Arabidopsis thaliana: one gene and its partners. The protein of the gene in region 1 interacts with the protein of each later gene in a biochemical or structural test. Each region holds a gene or a part of one and is shown in the gene's direction. Other genes may lie near its edges. The genes, in order: TOC34, OEP80, AKR2 and PFA-DSP1.

Region 1 (4,768 bases):
AATGATCCACTAGTTAAAGCACACTAACCTTTTGGTTTGGTATTGATAGGGTCGACATCTGAAATCATGCCAAACCCAGAACCACTTCCATAACCACCGCCGCCACCACTGGATATGCTCAATTCATTGAAACCACTTTCAAGTCTTCCAGATCCCATTGAACCCATGGACGAAAATCCTCCTGGCTTATTCTTTTCAATCTAGGAATTACATAAGAAATATTAATAGGAGTTACAGAAATAGAATACAACAGCAGGGTGCGCTCCTGTCATGTACCTTGCTTTTGTCAATCTCATTAGCCTTACGCTTCATCACGTCCTTAGTGTCATTGATCTTGCTCTGCATAACCAGTTTATGCAACTTCTCCTCATGACTTTCCATTTCACAATACTGCTTCACCTGGGCAACTGTCACACTTTCCTTGTGCCCAAGAGATATGACTTCATCAAATGCAAATATGAGCTCAAAAGATGCCCTGGAAATCCCTTCTTCATCTAAAGACATGGAATACTCAGGTACCTAGAAACAATCAAATGATCAAACAGCACTTGGAACACTCACTTTTCAAAAGAACTAAGAACCAGTACACATCCAGAGTCAAGGCAATAATCTCCTCAAATAAAGTAGCAGAAGTAAAAAAAAAAGAAAGAAAGAAAGAAAGAAGCATACAAGTTTGGAGAGCAAAGTAAGGGTGGCCAGGTCTTCTAGAATGTTACTCTGCTTAGTTGTAACAAGAAGCAGGAACAGAGCTTCAATAGGCTGATAAACATATCGCACATTCTCCGTCTCGATATAGGTATGCTGCTTTCCCATTCCAACCAGCTTAGGAAAAGCTGCAAGTAGACCTTCGATTCTGATACGGGACATATCCACATAGTGTCTGGAAACAATCACTACATAAAAAAGAAGAAAGTTAGAAAAAACGCAAAAATATTGAAAAACGAGAATTCGAAGACAAAGTCAAAGATAGATGAAAATAACCTTTCCCAGACTTGACCACAATGGCAGCAGCAAGCACAACCTATAAAGCACAGGTTCCAACTTTAGAAAACGCGCCAGACACTCATCAAACACTAAAGTTAACACCAAATTGCGAAGATGCACTAAAAAGGAAAAAGAAAAAAACCAATCATAGAACAAAAGTCAATACCATTTTGATTATTCAGGCTCGAACAATCTCGGCGATTATAAGAAAGGTAATGCGAATCTGAAATACAAAGAACCAATGTTAGAGTAAATCCAGTTAGAGCGAGATCAGAAGAAACAAACGGGATTTGATCTTCAGGATCATAAATCACGTAATAGAGGAAGAGATCTCGAATACACGAATCCAAACGAAACTAGACTAGCGAATCGAAAATATAAAAAGAATTCATCGCAGATCCAGCGGATCTACGAGCATCAGAGGCTCATAATCGAAAAACATAACTGTAGAATCAAAATCAACACAAGCGGATCAAATTCATGAAACAGGATCGCGAAATTTAGAAGGAGGAGAAAATTCTTAATAATGGAGATCCACAGAAATGTAGCCAGAGAGAACATTCATTCAAAGGAAAACGAAAATCATCACCATCAGTGAAGGCGAAGAGCGAGAGAACAAGACGATACCTTGGGAGTGATCGAAGGAGATGAAATCACCAGTTTCTTCTTCACAAGCTCGCCGAGTAAAAAAGATGAAACGAGTCTCAGATTAAATCCTGGTGTGTGTGTTAGAGAAAAGACGATCCACAAAACAAGGACAAGTAATCTGGGCCGTTTCAGTTCCTTATTGGGCTTTCCAACCCAGTAAATGGAAGAAAAAATGCCAAAAGGGCAAATTCGTCATTGGTGCAGACCGACGACATTCGGTTTAGTCCGGTTGAATTTTGAAAGGAATGTACTTTCATGTATTGAGATTTGTAGCAATCAATCATCTTCAAAAGTCAATTTCAGTTCTAGGGTTTTAATTTGATACGAGGTCAGCGAATCCGGCGACGAATATCCGCCACTAGTAACTCTAGCTCAGGTAGGTTACTCTCTCTCTCGTTTTCTTTCTTTATCTGGTTTTCACTTCGTCCACTTAGAAGTATGCTCATTTGATAAATTGGCATTTGACCCCAGTTCAGGATTTAGGATTCTGATTATCTCTCAATACTTGATTAGTTTAGTGCTTAAGTTATTAGTTTTTGGTATGCCCACTTGCGCCATGTTCGTTTCTAAAGCAATGAGATTATTTTCATTTAAAGATCTGGAAAAAAGAAACTAATGGAGACAACGGCAAATGAAGATGGATTTTAAGGGTTTTTGTTCTTAGTAAAAAAAAGTTATCTTCTTTTTAATTTTCTGAGACTTTAATTGCTAGAAAGTTATAGGATTGATTCAGATAGTGGAATCAGACAACTTTTTCTTTTATGGGCGATTACTCATTTTTGTTCTTTGGTCTTCTGATTGTTTAGTTTCTTAGCAGATGATTTAGTCTTCTCTTTTGTGATCCTTTTTTGCTTTCCTTGGAAGTGTAGGTAAGGATTTGTGTCCATGGCAGCTTTGCAAACGCTTCGTGAATGGATCGGTATCCAGCAGTTCCCACCTGCTACTCAATCTAAATTGCTCGAGATCCTTGGGAAGTATAAAGAAGAGGTTCCTTTCTTGTTTCTAGCTTCATCTGCTTTCTGTTTGTTTCTTCTTGTCTTAGAGAGATTTAAGAAAGAAAAAAAACTGGTGTAGGATGTGAGCTCGCTAACGGTCCTTGTAATGGGGAAAGGTGGTGTTGGAAAGTCATCAACTGTGAATTCAGTTATAGGCGAGAAAGCTGCTGCAGTTAGTACTTTCCAGGTGCCAAGTTTAATGCTCTTCTCATGGCTTGTCTTTATGACTATTGGCTATCTTTCTTTTAATTTTTCTCATAGAAAGTGTGTGATTTTCCCTCTTTATAGTCTGAAGGACTGAGGCCTACCTTGGTCTCTCGCACAAGATCGGGATTTACATTGAATATCATCGACACTCCTGGTCTTATTGAGGGAGGATATGTGAATGATCAAGCCATCAACATTATAAAACGGTATGATGAACTGTTTCCAGGTCTAAGGAGTTACTCTCCTAATTTGGGGCTCATTTGTGGCATTTGTATTAATTTGGATTCGTGGATGTTGAATTTGAACAGATTTCTCCTCAACATGACTATAGATGTGCTACTATACGTAGACCGTTTGGATGTGTACCGGGTGGATGACCTTGATAGGCAAGTTGTCGGTGCTATAACTGATGCATTTGGTAAAGAGATATGGAAGAAGTCTGCTCTTGTTCTCACCCATGCTCAGTTCTCTCCACCAGACGGGTTAAATTATAACCACTTTGTCTCCAAAAGATCTAATGCTCTTCTAAAAGTTATCCAGACAGGCGCTCAACTGAAGAAACAGGATTTGCAGGTATAGTTTTTTCCTCCTTACATAAATGTCTGTAACGACCTTGATAGTAGTCAAGTTAATAGACTCACTTACCTCTGATCTTTTATTGTAGGGTTTTTCTATTCCTGTCATTCTTGTTGAGAACAGCGGAAGATGCCATAAGAACGAAAGCGATGAAAAGGTCAGTTGATTGGTTTTGTCCACGTTCTCTTTTTCTCGCGTCTTGTAGTAGTTGGACCAATCTTGAAGTCGGATTTTCCAAATTTGTGACAGATTCTTCCATGCGGGACTAGTTGGATTCCCAATCTGTTCAACAAAATCACAGAGATCTCTTTTAATGGCAACAAGGCGATTCATGTTGACAAGAAACTGGTCGAAGGGCCAAACCCAAACGAAAGAGGAAAAAAACTGATTCCTTTAATGTTTGCATTCCAAGTAAGCCCCTCTGAACCATTCAGTAACAATACAGAATAAGGCTTGATCAAAACATCATGCATCATTTATTCATCTTTTGATGGTTTGAAAATGCAGTACTTGCTGGTGATGAAGCCATTGGTTCGAGCAATCAAGTCCGATGTTTCGAGAGAGAGTAAACCGGCGTGGGAGCTGCGAGACTCCGGTTTAGCAAGTCGAAGGTCTTGAGTTGTGGACACGAGTTTTGTTTGGTTTGTTTGTCTATCTGAGAGATTGTTCTGTAGTTGAAATTGTGATACAACTCGAGAAATGTGGTTCACAGATAATTACTGTCGCAAAGTTCTCTCATCTTAATTACATCTTCTTTAGCCTCTCGTAAATCGTAATTAAGAGCTACTCTCTTGGTGAAAATGATTAGAAGAGATAATTCCATTTTGTCATTAATGGTAAAAGTAACCGCTGCAGTTATTTTTGACGCGATGCAAGTTTTGAAATAAAATAAAAATTTGAGTTAAAGAAAAAAAAAACCGATGTTTAAAGGAGGAATTTGGCAAACGGAGAAGACGGTTCAGAGAAGATCGTTTACTCTTTCCTCAATTTCGAACAAAGTTTTCGAATTTTCCAACTCTCTCTAGTGAATTTAGGGTTCTGATTTCGACATTAGTGTAAAGATTTGTTTTTTATCCGAGGGGTGCGATTGTGTAGTCAAACCAGATCAAATGTCGGCATCAACGGTGTCGATCACCGCTAATACGGCGGCAGCGACTAGACGGACGCCGATTCTTGCCGGAGAGAAAAAATCAAACTTTGATTACCCTCAAAGCGAATCGCTTGCGAACGGTGGTGTTGGGGAAGCCGGTGGTACGAGTAGAGATCTGAGCCGCGGTGAAGCTACCCTTGATCGATCTCAGGGACAAGATTTGGGTCCTGTGACGAGAAGGTCTGTTTCCGCTGCGACGGGGACTAAT
Region 2 (6,906 bases), 5.1 Mb from region 1:
GTCTTAAAAGAGGACAAAATAAACATTTGTAGTAAAAAGATTATAGTTAATGAACGTACAGAGGATGGATGTTTCATGATTCCGGTTAAAACTTGAAGAATCCTCATCATTACAGCATCTTCAGACACCAAATCTGTTTTCTCCAAACGACAACTAGTAATCCCGGAGACAATAGAATTCATAGCATCTTTTGCACCAGGTGTTTTCTCATCGAAGATCTCGATTTTAAGGATCTTTAAGATGGAGGAAAGAGCGACAGCTGTGGCGCTAGCCGGAATCTCATCGCTTTGAATAACTTCGAGGAAAGGAGAAAGATAAACCGAAGGATCTATGGTGCGCCAATCTTGTTGAGGATTGAAAATAAGAGCTCTAAGAGATTTGAGAGATTGTTGGACTGATGAATCACAGTGGTCTGTTTCTTGGGGAGAAAGGTAACTTTCTGAAAGGGGTCTACGAATGACGGCAAGGACTGCACCAACCTCCGTGTTAAGCATGCATGATATCCCTAGCTCTTTCCGCTTTGCTCTTACGGCGATACGATCCATTTCTCACCTTATCACACTCTTCTTGCCGATAAAGAAGAAAAATCATTCAGCAACTGTTTTTTTTGTTGTTCTTCGTTTTTATTCTTTATGTGTACGGTGTTGCCTTGCCTTGGTTTGATCCTATATTTAGTATATAAGTTTTAGTGGCTGAGACTCAGTGATGGGTGAGTTTCAACCATTTGTCATCACACATCTAGGAAAACTCCATCATCAGCTACCGTCAATTTCTTTAAGGCTTAAGATAGAAAACTAATGTACGTTCTGCAAAAATTCAGATTTAAGGATACATTATTTGGATCAAACGTATGTGTTCAAGGTTTTTTTTTCTTCTTCTTTTAAAGTAGAAGCAAACTCTACGATGATTGGAGTGGAAACCATTTTTGTAGGATTAGGCCTCTTCATACTGATCTGAGTCAGACTTTGCATAGCTGAAGTTTTTTTCCTCTACTATTCAATTAACCAGTAGAGAAAAACTGACGCTTAAGAGGTTAATGGAGCTTAAATTTTACCAAATTCAGACCATAACTCTATTTATGTACTGGTCCTAGTGTTTCCAAGAGAATATATCTCTCAGCTTAAATTTTACTAAAATTCAGACCATAACTTATTTATGTACTGGTCCTAATAAGATGAATGTTTTAAGGGTTTATGGCTTGCTTAAGAAGAGCCAAAACTCTCTATAATTAACAAGTCTAAAATTGACAAAATTAATATAATTGGTTTTGTTACATGTTTGTGACCATAACTACTAAAAAAATTCACAGAAAAACTATTCAATAATCCTTGTTTGTTCATGTGTGTGATCTATTAATCAATAAAATCAAGAAAATGGATAGGAGAAATCAACTAACGTTTTTTTCTCAAAAATCTATTTATTTATTTTGATTAACATGTTTTGAACGTTAGTTAACTAATTTACCCTACAAAAAACTAATTTACCGTCAAATAAATGAGAAATCCCCTTAATGAGAAATTGATTATTTTCCAAAATATTTATTTGACGCAATTTTATTTTCATTTTTGAAAATCCAGTAATTTTACAAAACCTAATAATATACTCAAAGGAATGTTTACATAAAACATTCAAAAAAATAATTTGTTTTTTGTTTGTTCGTAAATGGGCTTTAACATCACCTCCTTTTCACTCTATCATCTTCTACTCCGAGTCTCCGAATCAAAAAAAACCCTAGCTCTTATTTTTTGTTCTTAGATTTTATCTCTTAAGCTCTTCTTCTTCCTTGACATTTCCTCAATTTCACTCCCGAGTACGATTAACAATGCATTGTCACAACGATGATGTTCGCTTCTCTTCATCTTCTATCAGAATCCATTCTCCATCTCCCAAAGAACAACACTCTTTACTCACCAATCTCCAATCCTGCTCTAAAACCTTCGTCTCTCACCTCTCAAATACTCGTAACTCACTAAACCAAATGCTCCAGTCGCTAAAGAATCGCCACACTCCTCCTCCACGTTCGGTTCGTCGTCCCAATTTACCGACTCAGATGCTCAATTCAGTAACCCAGCTTATGATTGGGAAGTCTTCTCCAATTTCATTGTCTCTTATCCAATCCACCCAATTCAATTGGTCTGAATCAAGAGATGAGAACGTTGAGACAATCCGTGGACTAAGCTCGCCTCTGCTCTGTTGTGCCTCTTTGTCTCTAACTAGACCTAACGAGTCGACTCAGTCAGTGGAAGGGAAGGATACAGTACAGCAGCAGAAGGGTCACTCGGTGAGTCGAAATGCGGAGGAACGAGTTCTGATTAGTGAGGTTTTAGTAAGAACGAAAGATGGTGAGGAACTTGAGAGGAAGGATTTGGAAATGGAGGCATTGGCTGCTTTGAAAGCTTGTAGAGCTAATTCAGCGTTGACTATTCGTGAGGTACAGGAGGATGTACATAGGATTATAGAAAGTGGGTACTTTTGCTCTTGTACTCCTGTTGCTGTTGATACACGAGACGGGATTCGGTTGATGTTTCAGGTAATATTTTGATTGTTACTCTTTTTGTTGGAGGAGAAAGGTCTCGTTTTTATGTTTCTGGGATGCAAATAATTCTCATTTTCTTGCCATAAGGTAGAACCAAACCAAGAATTTCGTGGGTTAGTCTGTGAAAATGCAAATGTTCTTCCTTCCAAGTTCATACATGAAGCTTTCCGAGATGGGTTTGGTACGTATCCTCCAATTTAGCTTGTTTTTTTTTCTTCTGTACTGTACTAGACTTATCTGTCAATTCATTGATTTACGTTGGGAGTAAAATGGATTAATGATATTGGAACCTGACAAATATTTCGAGTACTAATGATGAAGCTAAGAATTTTCTAACACATGGTGTAAAATGTGTTAGCCTTGAATGAAGAAGATAGATTAGAGGTAGGTAGTATTCTCAAAATGTATCCATGCTCCAAAACAGAGCATAATTTGAAGTTGCATTTAGTTTACACATATTAATGTATTGAGGCTAGTTAGGTGGATTCCTTCTGTTCGGTGTGTGTTTGATTGGAGAGGGTAATGGTTAGTAAATGTTGGTGTCAAGCTGTGTAGGGAAAGTGATTAATATTAAGAGACTGGAAGAAGCTATTACATCCATCAATGGATGGTACATGGAGCGTGGTCTTTTCGGAATTGTAAGTGCTCTTTTTACACCATAATTACTTTTTCAAAAAAAAAAATCATCCTGGATTCAGTCTTATACTTTGTGGTTAGAATCATCATTCTGTTGTCTGCCATTGTAGGTTTCAGATATTGATACGCTTTCTGGAGGTATAGTAAGGCTTCAGGTTGCTGAAGCAGAGGTTAACAACATATCCATCCGATTCCTTGATCGTAAGACGTAAGCTGGTGCCAATCCCTCCCTTATGAATGTAGTTTATATTGGTTTAAATTGTAGGCAATTCTGGATGGCACTGGTAGCTTCCTTTTATTTCAACTATTAGATTACGATTTCATTGATAATGGTGCCTTCTATATTTAGTGGGGAACCAACTAAAGGGAAGACTAGCCCTGAGACAATACTACGGCAACTTACAACAAAGAAGGGACAGGTATTTTTTGGGCATTTCTCAGCTTAGATGTAAAGATAAGTCGCTGACTAAAACATCATAAACTATCTGAGCTGTATTTTTATGCTAAATAACACTTCTGAGTGCATCATCTGTGTATGAAATCCTTTGGAGATCTTATTTTTAATTAAGGTTAATCACTCTTTATGGTATCATGTATGTTTCTTCGTAAAATTTGGCCTTAAAGTCTTTATGCATGAGCGTCTAAGTAGGGCCTCTACATACACATCTTGTCTAATCTGGCTTTTGGTCAATTTAGGTCTACAGCATGCTTCAAGGGAAGAGGGATGTAGACACTGTGCTAGCCATGGGAATCATGGAAGATGTTAGTATTATTCCTCAACCTGCAGGAGGTGTGTAAATATATTTCTTTCTTTTCAGCTAATACTTTTAATTTTCATCTTGTGCTTAAGGTGCAGTAGTATGAGTGAAGAAAGTATTTTCCTTGCTTATCCTTAGGCACAGTAACAAAAGGTTTTGACAGTGTCTGATTCTGAAACTTTCTTCTTTTCCTTGTTTTTTATTCCTGTTAGATAGTGGGAAGGTTGATTTGATCATGAACTGTGTCGAGCGTCCCAGTGGAGGCTTCTCTGCTGGTGGTGGGATATCTAGTGGGTAAGTTTTAGTTTGTTTGCTACTTACAGCGATTCAATTTTTTTCTTTTGTAGCTTGATGACAACTTTTGTCCAATTCTTTTGTAGGATCACAAGTGGCCCCCTATCAGGATTAATTGGAAGGTAAAAGTAATGTATATTTTATTTGTAATGATTTTTTTTTTATTTCTGGCCTAGGCTGTGTGTATTACATTACTGATGTAGTTGAAGTAATCATTTTATGCAGCTTCGCTTATTCCCACCGCAATCTGTTTGGAAGAAACCAGAAGCTTAATGTTTCCTTAGAGAGGGGTCAAATTGACTCTATATTTCGTATAAACTACACTGATCCATGGATTGAAGGAGATGACAAGAGGACGTCCAGATCTATTATGGTTCAGGTAACACCTTTACTGGTTATCTCAATGAGATTGCTGAGATGACTAATAAACTAATGAACTTCATCTTGAGTTAGAATTCAAGAACACCGGGGAATCTTGTTCACGGCAATCAACCAGACAATAGTAGTCTCACAATTGGTCGGGTTACAGCAGGTGTTGAATACAGTCGTCCATTCAGGCCAAAGTGGAATGGTACTGCTGGACTTATATTTCAGGTCTCTACTGTTCCCAATATTTTCTAAGTTTCTGTACCAATCCAGAGTAATATTGGTGTTAAAGCAATTAAAATATATGTTCTTGTCGTTTCTGACTAGATCCAAACTGGTAAATTTTTTACTTTTTGACCAATATATACGTTACCCTTAATTTCGTTTTGAATTTCATGTTTCAGCATGCTGGTGCTCGTGATGAACAAGGAAACCCTATCATTAAGGACTTCTACAGTAGCCCTCTAACTGCAAGGTATATATATGTCCCAATTCCCAAAGAATGATTTGTCTTTGGTTCTGCTCACTGTTTTCACCAATGCTGTATTTGGCCATATGAATTTGATAGATGCCATTATTAATGTTTTCTCATGCAGTGGTAAGCCCCATGATGAGACCATGCTAGCAAAACTTGAAAGCATTTATACTGGCTCAGGTGACCAAGGATCAACGATGGTCAGTCTGATACCTCTGTTGGTACATCTTCCCCTTCTTTTTTCAGTGCCTAATTCTATCTGTATTTTTATACCAGTTTGCGTTTAACATGGAACAAGGGCTTCCTGTTTTGCCCGAATGGTTATGTTTCAATCGAGTGACTGGACGTGCCAGGAAAGGCATACACATTGGACCAGCTCGTTTCCTTTTTAGGTATGCTAACTTCCTTTGAGGCATATAATTTTCTTGAGGTCTCTATTTACCTTTTGGGATTCGAATCATCATTTCTAAAGTTTTATATAGTGTATCTTACCTTGTTCATGTTTATAGTCTGTCTGGTGGACATGTGGTGGGAAAATTTTCACCTCATGAAGCATTCGTCATCGGTGGAACAAACAGCGTAAGAGGTTACGAAGAGGGCGCTGTAGGATCTGGTCGGTCATATGTAGTTGGTTCAGGGGAGCTGTCTTTCCCAGTGGTGGGTTTTTCTTTGAACATTCCTAAGATCTCATTTCACAATGGTGTAAAAATCATGACTCTCATTCTTACCCTATTGTGCAGAGAGGACCGGTCGAAGGCGTCATTTTTACAGATTATGGCACTGATATGGGATCAGGATCCACCGTCCCAGGTACAGACTAGGCTTTCGTTTTTTTTTTCTCCTTCTGAGCCTTTCCATATATGCTTGTAATAGCTTTAGAATCTCAGGGAACCTTCATCTTTGTTATTTTCTGCCCTTTAGGTGATCCTGCGGGGGCAAGACTGAAGCCCGGAAGCGGTTATGGATATGGTTTAGGGGTGCGTGTTGATTCCCCGTTGGGGCCGCTACGCCTTGAATATGCCTTCAACGATCAACATGCGGGAAGGTTTCACTTTGGGGTTGGTCTGCGGAACTAAATTTTCCTGTTTCTTTTTTAGATTCGATAAGTGTTTTGTCGGCCTTTGTCGCACATTCATCTAGATGATGCTTGTCTATTTTGATAATTTATATCATCTTATGTAACTCACTGTTTTGTGAGTGGTTTGTGCATGGAGAGAGATGTCGCGTATGAATGCTTTTCATGTAGATGATTTTCATTTTACCAAACTCCCAGTTAAAATTATTAATAGAACCAAGATTAGGATTTTTATTCTTCATCCTAGTATGAACCTGATTTGTCTCCTTAGGATGTCACATGATCGTGAGCAAACTCTTCTCGATGCAATTGCAAAGCTTGAAGAAATGTCCGATAGAGTGATAATAACTCAACATATGAAAACAAGTCTTTTAGTGCGTAGTGTACAGGGACATCAAACTCCTATCGTGCTAGTAAAGATTTATCCAAGTAATTTCCGGACATACACCAACGTAGTTCGACGAGGATGTAATAATCCCCTAAGGTCTATCTTTTCATGTGGTATTTTACAGGGATGAAATAAATTTACATATAATATCGGTCACCTGAGAATCATATTCAGGTCCTTCCATCTGGAAATGACTAACGCCTTCAATGAGGTGTGTTTCAGTGCGTCCGACTGCAGATTTCAGCTTCTTCTTTAGCTGGCTAACGCTAGTGAACCCGTCTTGTGTTCCCATTACGAAGAGTTTGGGTTTAGGGGATGAGAGAATGGCCTTGTGGTGTCGCCCAAAGAGAATCGAGGCCATTAGGCCAAATGGGTATC
Region 3 (4,883 bases), on another chromosome or scaffold:
TGCTGTAAGAGGAACTTGACAAACCCCCGCAAGTGTAGCAGCCATTCCAACCTGTTAAACAATGAGACAAACAGGATCATTGGCAATGAAGCTACAAAAAAACTAGCATCCATTCTCAGTTAACCCGAAAAAATATTCTGTTCAAAGTATTGATAGGTAACCAATCAAGAAAGTCTGAAATTAAGACAATTTTGAAACATTGACCACATAAGAACAGTACCAGACCATAAGCTTGTGGAGATGCCACTTCCAAGATAGAGAGATTGAAATCAGGGTTCTGAGCCAAAGCAAGTCCAATAAACTTTCCATAGGCCATTCCTGCTGCCCCGCCAATAAAGAGAGAAGGAGCATAGTATCCACCGACAAGTCCAGAAGCCCGACACCATGCGGTTGCAGCTATCTTGACCGCTACCAGCTGAAGCAAAAGATCAGCTGAAAGACCCTTCACAAATGGACGTTTCTCCAACAAAATATCCACATTCTGAAAACCCCAGTATAATACTTCAGGGTATACCAAAGCTATGATACCAACACTTAATCCACCCATTACAGGAAATACAGCCTTTGGTATCCCAGCATCCTTGTTAAGACTGTCAACAGCAGATGTCATGGATGATGTACATCGAGATAATGCCAACGAGACCAAGCCACACAGAGCGCCCAATAAAAGATAGAGTGGAAGTTCTGAAAATCAGTGACCAGCTCTCATAAGTTTGGTTTCTGGTTCCCTTGCGTAAAAAGCATAAGAATGGCAATGCATATTACCTCCAGGAGAGCGGAAGTCATAGTCAGGAACCTTAAACGCAGGTTCAGAGCCGAGACCGATTTCGGAAACCACAGAAGCAGTAACAGCACTAAGAATAACCATAGAAGTTGTGTTTGGAAGTGAAGTTGATGAATCAGTTGATGAAGAAGGCCACAAAACGGATTCAACTGCAAAGAAGCATCCAGCCACAGCTGCATTGAACCCTGTAACAACATATAACAAAGTCCTCTTAACGAATCAATCAAGAGTTCCATACGCAAGAGAGAACAACATTAGCAAATATCAGATGAACAAACCAGAGGAAATGCCAGCAGCTGAGCCAGCGGCAAGAAGTGAGAAGCCAGTCTGAGGACTTTTATTGAACAGAGAATTCACACCTTTAGCGATTGACGCTCCAATTTCAACACTTGGACCTTCCGGCCCCAGCGAATTTCCAGTCCCAAGCGTCACACATGCGGCAACAGTCTTAAGGAAAGGACGCAACACTGCCTTTACGCGATCGAGACTAGAATGAGAATCTCCAGTAGATTTTCCAGCAGATTCTCGAAGCTGATTGAGGATGCTCACCACCAAACCGCCGATAGTCGGAACAAGGATAACACGCAACCAATTGGAACCGATCGGTGCCTCTCTAAGCCACGAAGCTCCACGATCAGGAATCCCATCCCAGGAAAAGTCTCGAAGCAAGTGAACACAGTTGTTGAATAGAACCACACTAACTCCAGTGAGAACACCAACCAAACAAGCCGACGCTATCGCAAGCTCCTGAGACGGCTGCTGATCAAATCCAACCTCATCCTGATCAGTCTCCTGCTTCGCCGCCGGTAAACGCGGGAAAATTCTACCGCCAATAGCGACGGAACCGAAAAACGGTGAAAGGACGACATTGAACTGAAAAGGAACGTCGGTTTTGTGAATTGGAGCGAATCTCCGGGAAGAGACGGGAGATCGGAGGGCAGCACAGAGTGGAAGCGTGGCTGCCATGAACGGCTGCTTCCGTGAAGTGACGCGTGTTTATCCATTAACGGATAATTTGATCTTAAATCACAAATCTTACGTGGCTGATCTTATTATTCAAACGCATGGGCTTGGGCCTTGAGGTAAACAGGTTTATATGGGCCAATAACAATAAATTTGATTAAAAATAAAAGGCCTCTTAGCTTTAGGTTCAAACTTCAATGGAGAAGCAGTGGCTGTTGTCCCTCGCAGTTGATCTTCTTCTCAATCCAAAATCCAGCTGATAAATAAATAATTTTTCTCTTGTCGTCATATTAAAAAAAAGAAAGATTATCTGTATTTCAAGTTTCATGAGCGTTTGCCACCACAACATTGTCTTTTCGGGTTAATTTCTTCTTCTTCTTCCTTTTCTTACTAAATTCTCTTAGGTAGTTGTCGATTCGATTTCTTTGTCTTCCTCTTCGCTTATTTTCGTTGAATCTCTTGTTTACACCTTTTCCTGAAAACAAAATTGTGTTTTTTGTAGGGTTTTAGTCATACTTAATGGCTTCCAATTCGGAGAAAAATCCTCTTCTTTCAGGTGATTATTTTCTTCTCAGTATACAATCTGATCTGCGATAATGAATCGTTTCTAGTCAGATTTGGTTATTGGTTCATTGTAATTTGTTTACTGTAGATGAGAAACCCAAATCGACGGAGGAGAATAAGAGTTCTAAGCCGGAATCAGCTTCTGGGAGTTCAACTTCATCAGCTATGCCTGGCTTGAATTTCAATGCTTTTGATTTCTCTAATATGGCTAGTATTCTCAACGTAAGTTACCTTTGCTGTTAGCACAATTGAAAAGTTATCTTCTTTGAGTTTTTTTTTAATTGATAATGGTTTTTTTTGTAGGATCCTAGCATCAGAGAAATGGCTGAGCAAATAGCTAAAGATCCTGCGTTTAACCAATTGGCTGAGCAGCTTCAGAGATCTATTCCTAACGCTGGCCAGGAAGGTGGTTTCCCTAACTTTGATCCTCAACAGTATGTCAATACAATGCAACAGGTTATGCATAACCCTGAGTTTAAGACAATGGCCGAGAAACTTGGTACCGCCTTAGTTCAGGTTAGGAATTGATGACTTTTTCCATCTAATCGAGGTGTGGCTTTGAATGAAGCTCTGTGTCTTATCTGATTTTATTTATTTTTTTTGCCTACAGGATCCACAAATGTCTCCTTTTTTGGATGCTTTCTCGAATCCTGAAACAGCAGAACACTTTACTGAGCGTATGGCGCGGATGAAAGAAGATCCAGAGTTGAAACCTATACTAGATGAGATTGATGCTGGTGGTCCTTCTGCCATGATGAAGTGAGTGATACAAACTTCTTTCAATGTTTTTTAGAGAAACTGTAGAGTTTGTTTCTGTTTATGAAGGAAGAATTATTTATTCTGTTTTAGGTACTGGAATGATCCAGAAGTGCTGAAAAAGCTGGGTGAAGCAATGGGTATGCCTGTTGCTGGCTTACCAGACCAGACTGTTTCAGCTGAACCTGAGGTAGCAGAAGAAGGTGAAGAAGAAGAGTCTATTGTTCACCAAACTGCCAGTCTTGGTGATGTTGAGGTTAGACTGCTTCCTACGTTAATATGCTTGACCATGTGAGATTTATCTTGCGTGTTGCTTGAGGAATTAGATGTTCCAAGTTTTGTTTTGTTGAACTCGTTATTGGATTTTTATTCGTTGATTCATTAGGGTTTGAAAGCTGCCTTGGCATCTGGTGGTAACAAAGATGAAGAAGATTCTGAAGGAAGGACAGCATTGCATTTTGCTTGTGGATACGGCGAGGTATGCAATTCTCTTATCAATTCACGGCAATTAAATATTCGGATTTAGATGGTTCTCTTTTTTTCAGTAGCTGTGAAGTTAAGAATCTTTATAATCATTCAATTGGTAGAAAAGTAACCAGTCTACTTACGTCTACGAGTTTCATGACACAATTACTTATAGCAAGTTCAAATATTTGGTGAAAGAGCAATGAGATGGAACTGGCGATTACTTGCATACTAAAGATTTTGCTTATGAATATGGATTGAACTGAGTTTAACCCTGTTGAGCCCTATCAACAGTTGAAATGTGCTCAAGTTCTTATCGATGCTGGAGCAAGTGTTAATGCGGTTGACAAAAACAAGAACACACCTCTGCATTATGCTGCTGGTTACGGGAGGAAAGAGTGTGTAAGCCTTCTCCTGGAGAATGGTGCTGCAGTGTAAGTCTCACAACACAGTACTTATAATGAAACAACTCCATTAAACACTGTTTCAGGACTTTAATTATATGTGCTTTGGTTGATGTGTGTGGTTGCAGCACTCTGCAAAACCTAGACGAGAAGACGCCAATTGATGTAGCGAAGCTCAACAGCCAGCTGGAGGTGGTGAAGCTGCTTGAGAAGGATGCTTTCCTTTGAGCTCTGCTGGTTAAAGGAAAGCTCTAAGCTCATATTGTCTTTGAGGCATTTGTCTTGTGTGTGTCCTGAACCAGTTTCACAGGCTTTTTGTGTACACTTTTTATTAGTTCCTCTCTTCTTCTAAATTTGTCTCTTATGTTGTTTTAAAAGTCAATAAAGAAAGAAATAGCAATCAATGATTTAATTTATGATTATATTCTTTATTTCGTCGACCTCTACAGAATGATTCAATTTGGAAGAATCATTCTGGTTTGGAGGATATGTAAGAAAAACTACTTGATCTCCAAGTTATTCCATTCTTCTGTTACTGTATTGCCCAAATTCCCAAGCTTGACAATATTTACGCAAAGCTCAAAACCCAAAATATTTGAGAATCAAAACAAAATCAAGGGTCTTGTCTTTTTTTTTTTTTTTGGTGTGAATCAAAGGTCTTGTCTTTGCAAGTAAATTCGTTCCTAATGAACTGTGTGAGTCGTTTAAAGTGTTTGATAAGCAAAGCACGAAGCTTTGCACGGCTTGGTGGTGAATCCACTCTCTCTCAACCGCCGTCTCTCGCCTCCGCCGCGTTTTCTTCATCCGCCGTCATGAATGGTCTCGAAACTCACAACACAAGGCTCTGTATCGTAGGAAGTGGCCCAGCGGCACACACGGCGGCGATTTACGCAGCTAGGGCTGAACTTAAACCTCTTCTCTTCGAAGGATGGATGGCTAACGACATC
Region 4 (5,606 bases), on another chromosome or scaffold:
TCTTTAACGGCATCCAAAACGCTTTCGTACGTGGCCGAGTGCTCGCGGCGCAATAATCCTTGAGAATCATAAGGTATATTCCCTGGAATGTACCTTTTTTGTTTTTCTTATAAAAAAACTATCTGGTGCATTTTGTTTTTATGGAGTAATTTATCCAATTAAAGTCCAGTGTGGGACACTAAACATTACAAATTTTATGTCTTTAGCTTAGTTATCATCTGTTTTTTTTTAATTAGAAAAGAGTAGTTTTCTGGTGTGAGTGTTATGTGGAAGACAAATATGTGACGTGGATTCTAATAATGTATTGTCGTGATGTGGTTCTTTTTGCATTATTTCGTTTTGATTATGTAATAGACATATATTTAAATGGTGCGATTATGCACCGAAGAAAAACATTCGTCTCCATTTTTCTTTATACGAAATTTGACCCCAAAAAAAAGGTAAAACACGGCGTCCGTGTTATTATGTAGTATCATGTATGACAGAAATGGCAACTACAGTAGATAGTTTGGACCGAATTTTATTTTCACACAATTAAATAGTTATTTCAAGGCAGTAACAAATTGGTGGAAAAAAAAAAAAAAAAGGCAGTAACAAATATTAAAACCGAATATTGGCTAAAATTATACATTTCAAAACAATATTATGAAATTGTTTAACAAAACAAAATGTGAAAGGAACATAGAAGTAATTAATGTACTCAGATTACGATCCCATAGAACTTAAATAAAGGTGCGTTTATGAATGCCAGATGACTCAGATTAGTGATTGTTCTTCCCACTTAGCAGAGTAATTGCTCTTTGTCCTTTGGAATCTCTCTCTCTCTTTTTATTTCTCTGTGTTTCGCTTGGAATCTATATTTTCGCTATTTCCTGGAATGATGATATATATGTATGTTAGTATGTAGTAGTCAATATTTTTGTATATTGTGAATAAGTGACTTTTTCAAGGTAAATATAGGTCAGAAACTTCAAATTCAAAATATTAAATATTATAATATTGGTGAAAATATATAGTCAAAAAATGATTTTAGGTTCGGTTGATAATTTATTCAATGAGAGTGATTTACCCGAATAAGATGATTGTGTGTGAGCAAAAAGATTCCACAATGATGCCAATTTAAGCTTCAACAAGTGCTTTCCTATTAACAAGAACAATTTATGTAATATCATTTTTTTCGTTTGTTTTGCAAAACTGCAAAGTCATTTTATTTTGTTTACTTTAATAATCCTTGAAAATGTTATAACAGTTATTTCCTCAAATTAGACCATCATACTATTATTATTGTTATTATCAACCGTTGATAAAAATGGTAGTAGCATGTACAACTAAGATAGACCGTTACAAAATTCGTGTATTGTTAATTATTATATAGTTTCCGTATGTTGCTGTTTTCAGCTCAACTTGAGTAAATATAAAATATTAAACTGTTTATTCTAATATTGGATTCTTTTGTGTAGTGGCAACTTATTTTTTTCTAAGCTTTTTTTTTTTACAGATTACGGATTTCAGTATGAAATTGTAGATCCAATCAACTATTTTCACATATGCTAAAAGGTATCTAAAAAGTAAAAACACTTAACAGATTATAAACAAAAAAGCTTTTAAGATAAATGTCACAAATTCTTTAAAAATAAACAAATAAACAGCTATTGACAAACAAAAAATAAAAATAAAAAAGGAGTCCTTGCTGGGTCCATCTCCTTTGCGTTCTTTTTCGTCTGTTGAATTTTGAACAGAGTCACAAGTCTCTCTCCATATAAACCTCCCCAAGGTCGACGCTACGTAACGACCATCTCCATTACTCGACTCTCCTCACCTAAAGATTCAACCTTTTCTCTGTTTCCCAATTCAGAGATGAAGCTTGTGGAGAAGACGACTACTACAGAGCAGGACAATGGAGAAGATTTCTGCCGCACCATCATCGAGGTTTCCGAGGTTAACAGAAACGTGTTTCAGGCTCCGGGCGGTGAAGCTGATCCCTTTCGAGTTGTCTCCGGCGAAGAACTTCACCTAATTCCGCCGCTCAACTTCTCCATGGTCGATAACGGTATATTCCGGTCTGGATTCCCTGATTCAGCTAACTTCTCCTTTCTCCAGACTCTCGGTCTCCGCTCAATCATGTAAAAGCTCCTTCCACATTCATGACATTTTGTATACTATATATCAAACTTTCGAAATTGCTGATTTTAGGTTTTTTCGAATTTGTGAAGATACTTGTGCCCGGAGCCCTACCCAGAGAGCAATCTCCAGTTCCTTAAATCCAATGGAATCAGGCTTTTCCAGTTTGGTATTGAAGGCAACAAGGTAACCATCTTTCTTCTCCTCTCTCTTCATCAAGTCTCCGTTTTTAATTGCTCTGTAATTCTAAACCTTACTTGGATAGTTCACTAGGAGAATTCTCTGAATGGAAAAATCATATCTTGCTGCAGTGTGTTCCTGACTTAGACAACGAGATTTCCTTGCATTTATGGAATTCTAAGCATCAGAAACAGGGTCCCTTAACTAATGGACTTTCGAAAACTTTGGTACACACTACATATATTAACTGGAACACGATACTATTTCTGGAATATATCATAGTTCATTCAATTTGAAGGGTTTTATTTGCTTGATATTTATTGCCTAATTGTTCTTGAAAATCCTGTCTCATTGTTGTTTACTTTAGACTACTAAAACTGTTTCTGTGTTTTCTTTCTCTTGAATTTGATCCTTCATGGGCACTCTGTTCCAAGCCATATTTTATTATTATGAGTTTACCAGAAAAAGAACACATCTTTCTTTATTGTTTTGCCTCTTTGGCTCTTTCCGTCTCTCTTGACCTCCACTGATTTGGTCCCACTCTTTGTTTTTCTGCCCCTTCAGCAACTATTCCCCACTTGTTCTTTCTACTCTCTATTTATAAAATTAGATTATGGACTACGTCAAAATATTTGCTGAGCTACTTGTTGCTAGTGTTGTCAATGATCCCACTACTCAATAGCTTACTTTCTGTTGTTATTGTTTTCTTGGTTCATGTTTATTGAGTGTGCACTTTTTTATACAGATATGATATCTTATGAAATCATACATCAGCGAAAGTGTTTTTGATTGTGTACAAGTAAACCGTTTTTTATGGTAAAAACTTGTAGAAAGCGTGTTGATCGTGAAAGTGTCCATATTAGCTGTAAGGTTTGAAATCTAGATAAGGTTAGGAATTGCTGGGAAAATGATAGATGGTTACGTTGTAAGTCGGTTAATGTTGTTTAATACGTACCTTTAGTTCCTTTCCTTTTCTATGTGTTAGTGGCTCATGTTTGGGCAAATCGTTGGTAAAGTGATAGAATAACCAAAAACTTCACCATAGAGTCTTGAACTTATTACCCTCATGAGTTACCATTCGCCTTTCCTGAAGAGATGGGTATGAATCTAATTTGAGTTGATATGTTTGAAAGAAAATATGTTTGTTCTGGTATGCAGTAGCTATCATTCTCTCCCCCCACAGAATCCACCTTTTCCCTGTCGATTCTACTCCTAGGATAGTCGATTCTTTATGTGGGGAGTCGTTTAGATACTTACTACCATAGTTCCCTAGTTTTGCTTTTACACTAAAGATGAAAATAAAGTGGCTTTCTCTTCTTGGTGTAGTGATTTTATTGGAAGAATCTGGATCTCATTGACTTTTGTTTTTGTTTCTGGACTCAGATTCTTTATAATTAGTGTGACAACTTCGATCTTGATAGGAAACCTTTATCGCTGATATTCTTGGCTTGCTATGCTTTTTTCTTCTCATAGATTCGTCTTTCAATGGGACTTTGTGTTTATTCCGTGTTGTTGTTGTTGTGTGTGGAGATAACTTTTTGATATAAAAAAGTAAAGAATCTTTCTCTCAGTACGCAACCAGTAAAAGGTATCACATTAGACATGCTTCATAACTTGTAGACTTTGTCCTGTTAATGAACCTTTGCATGGTTGTCTCTCTCGACGTTGCTTGTGCATGAACCTTGATTATTAGATTGCTTTATCTTTTCCTAATCTGCTCAATTTAGTAGTGTGATTGATCTTTTGACATATAATCTTACAATTTTAAAAAGACATTTTTTCTTCTTATTTTCAGGAGCCATTTGTGAATATTCCAGACCATAAAATCCGCATGGCACTGAAAGTGCTTCTAGGTAACTATGAATCATATAGAAGCGCTGAAATAAAAGAACACATGTAACCACACTTTTTGTATGCTTTCTAATTCTAACTTGGTTTATTAACAACTCTCCTTTTAAAATCCTCAGATGAGAAAAACCATCCTGTTCTGATTCATTGTAAGCGAGGCAAGGTAAATCATTCACTCCAATCCTAAACATTTCATCTTTTGTCTCCACCACTGAAGAAGAAAATGAGTTTCTAAGTATGAATCTGGAATTTGCAGCATCGGACCGGTTGTCTTGTTGGTTGCTTGAGGAAGCTCCAGAAATGGTGTTTGACATCGATATTCGACGAGTACCAACGATTTGCAGCAGCGAAAGCTAGAGTTTCAGATCAAAGATTCATGGAGATATTCGATGTTTCCAGCTTCAGTCATATTCCAATGTCATTCTCTTGTTCCATCAGGTAAACAGGGGAAGCTAAAATCTTCAGATAAAAAGGAGAGATTAATCATATTAGAGTTCCAGAGGAAACATTCTTCTCTTTCTTTACCTTTCTCTGGAATCAATAATACTATTTCGAGAAAAGAAAAGGTTTTCGTTGTTATAATGACTTCACTCTGTTTTTTTACTGCTCAGTGTAAGCATAAAGGTAGATAATTACGTATATATATAAAGTAAACTATACAGGAGTTTGTTTAGGAATATATGTATTTTCTTGGGTTATCCCGAATGTTGCTTAACGATTATTAGCTCATATATTTCAATTCTTCAGAACATGATTTGTTATTATCGTGTGTAGAGGAAAATGCTACTACCATCAGTGTGTAAATAATTTGTTCAATGTAATGCTAAACCGAAATATATGGACTAATTTGATTTACTGACCAATCATTAACATAACTCTATAACTTCTTTTTTGAATCAGTTACGGAATTAATCATTATTTTTATTAGTTGAAAAAGACATGCTAGATGTGTGAAGAGTTTGTTAAGTCACGAATATGAAACCTAACTAAGGCCAGTACCAATTTTTAGCTATAAGTGAGTGATAGTTGTCCTTATAGGTCACGAATACGAAACACTCTACTGGAGTGTTGTTAATCATTTACTTTAATAAAAAGCATGACACCGATTCTTCAACAACATGCAAAGCGCATTCTTGCTTGCGGCTACAAGAGTTCTTTGTTCCGTTCCTATGCAACCTTATGGTCACCCGAGGCTAGCCAAACTCTGCTTATTCGGGTCAAAGCGTCTTTGCAGCAACATGAGAAACAATTGTACACCAGAGGGCTCATAAGAATCTTCGAGATTCGGATCGATTTTCTCAAAAACGCGAGTTTTTTTTATTTCTTCTAAATCCTGATCTTCAACCTATGTACCAATTTGTGGTTTCTTACATATTATGTGCTCTTGGTTGTGGTATTATTAGGCATCAAGATATATGGGTAAAGAAAAGGTGTGTACTCTGTTTCAGAAAGATTAT

Evidence for each region.
Region 2: the proteins of TOC34 (region 1) and OEP80 form a complex in vitro, tested with the Arabidopsis thaliana proteins (one study listed by BioGRID).
Region 3: the proteins of TOC34 (region 1) and AKR2 form a complex in vitro, tested with the Arabidopsis thaliana proteins (one study listed by BioGRID).
Region 4: the proteins of TOC34 (region 1) and PFA-DSP1 form a complex in vitro, tested with the Arabidopsis thaliana proteins (one study listed by BioGRID).

Annotation. Positions count from the first base shown.
Region 1 is NC_003076.8:1,473,522-1,478,289, reverse strand, and holds TOC34 (translocon at the outer envelope membrane of chloroplasts 34), read left to right. Parts: upstream 1-1,855; 5' UTR 1,856-2,008; exon of another isoform or gene 2,009-2,501; 5' UTR 2,502-2,517; coding exon 2,518-2,619; intron 2,620-2,706; coding exon 2,707-2,814; intron 2,815-2,915; coding exon 2,916-3,040; intron 3,041-3,142; coding exon 3,143-3,407; intron 3,408-3,498; coding exon 3,499-3,567; intron 3,568-3,659; coding exon 3,660-3,821; intron 3,822-3,917; coding exon 3,918-4,028; 3' UTR 4,029-4,263; downstream 4,264-4,768. Other genes in the region: AT5G05010 (clathrin adaptor complexes medium subunit family protein), read right to left, coding at 29-200, 277-519, 670-893, 982-1,021, 1,151-1,153; SUN1 (SAD1/UNC-84 domain protein 1), read left to right, coding at 4,520-4,768. UniProt on the Arabidopsis thaliana protein: GTPase involved in protein precursor import into chloroplasts. Seems to recognize chloroplast-destined precursor proteins and regulate their presentation to the translocation channel through GTP hydrolysis.
Region 2 is NC_003076.8:6,621,501-6,628,406, forward strand, and holds OEP80 (outer envelope protein of 80 kDa), read left to right. Parts: upstream 1-1,696; 5' UTR 1,697-1,822; coding exon 1,823-2,530; intron 2,531-2,623; coding exon 2,624-2,717; intron 2,718-3,091; coding exon 3,092-3,174; intron 3,175-3,282; coding exon 3,283-3,380; intron 3,381-3,521; coding exon 3,522-3,591; intron 3,592-3,868; coding exon 3,869-3,962; intron 3,963-4,142; coding exon 4,143-4,224; intron 4,225-4,310; coding exon 4,311-4,346; intron 4,347-4,449; coding exon 4,450-4,603; intron 4,604-4,677; coding exon 4,678-4,818; intron 4,819-4,994; coding exon 4,995-5,065; intron 5,066-5,186; coding exon 5,187-5,265; intron 5,266-5,341; coding exon 5,342-5,457; intron 5,458-5,574; coding exon 5,575-5,722; intron 5,723-5,805; coding exon 5,806-5,875; intron 5,876-5,986; coding exon 5,987-6,141; 3' UTR 6,142-6,394; downstream 6,395-6,906. Other genes in the region: GNL2 (GNOM-like 2), read right to left, coding at 60-545; AT5G19630 (alpha/beta-Hydrolases superfamily protein), read right to left, coding at 6,647-6,906. UniProt on the Arabidopsis thaliana protein: Plays an essential role during early stages of plastid development.
Region 3 is NC_003075.7:16,837,596-16,842,478, forward strand, and holds AKR2 (ankyrin repeat-containing protein 2), read left to right. Parts: upstream 1-1,936; 5' UTR 1,937-2,151; exon of another isoform or gene 2,152-2,249; 5' UTR 2,250-2,266; coding exon 2,267-2,303; intron 2,304-2,332; exon of another isoform or gene 2,333-2,399; coding exon 2,400-2,533; intron 2,534-2,614; coding exon 2,615-2,827; intron 2,828-2,921; coding exon 2,922-3,070; intron 3,071-3,136; coding exon 3,137-3,323; intron 3,324-3,452; coding exon 3,453-3,545; intron 3,546-3,826; coding exon 3,827-3,966; intron 3,967-4,064; coding exon 4,065-4,164; 3' UTR 4,165-4,354; downstream 4,355-4,883. Other genes in the region: CLC-E (chloride channel E), read right to left, coding at 1-51, 221-684, 766-969, 1,063-1,750; NTRB (NADPH-dependent thioredoxin reductase B), read left to right, coding at 4,623-4,883. UniProt on the Arabidopsis thaliana protein: Exhibits chaperone activity toward chloroplast outer envelope membrane, mitochondrion outer membrane, endoplasmic reticulum membrane and peroxisomal proteins, by recruiting specific proteins containing a single transmembrane associated with an AKR2A-binding sequence (ABS) and subsequently binding glycolipids (e.g. monogalactosyldiacylglycerol (MGDG) and phosphatidylglycerol (PG)) present in the membrane of the target organelle.
Region 4 is NC_003070.9:1,423,803-1,429,408, forward strand, and holds PFA-DSP1 (Phosphotyrosine protein phosphatases superfamily protein), read left to right. Parts: upstream 1-1,736; 5' UTR 1,737-1,857; coding exon 1,858-2,123; intron 2,124-2,213; coding exon 2,214-2,307; intron 2,308-2,432; coding exon 2,433-2,528; coding exon of another isoform or gene 2,529-2,597; exon of another isoform or gene 2,598-4,096; coding exon 4,097-4,154; intron 4,155-4,268; coding exon 4,269-4,312; intron 4,313-4,405; coding exon 4,406-4,591; 3' UTR 4,592-5,067; downstream 5,068-5,606. Other genes in the region: AT1G05005 (PPR containing protein), read left to right, coding at 5,246-5,459. UniProt on the Arabidopsis thaliana protein: Cleaves the beta-phosphate at the 5-position of soluble inositol pyrophosphates.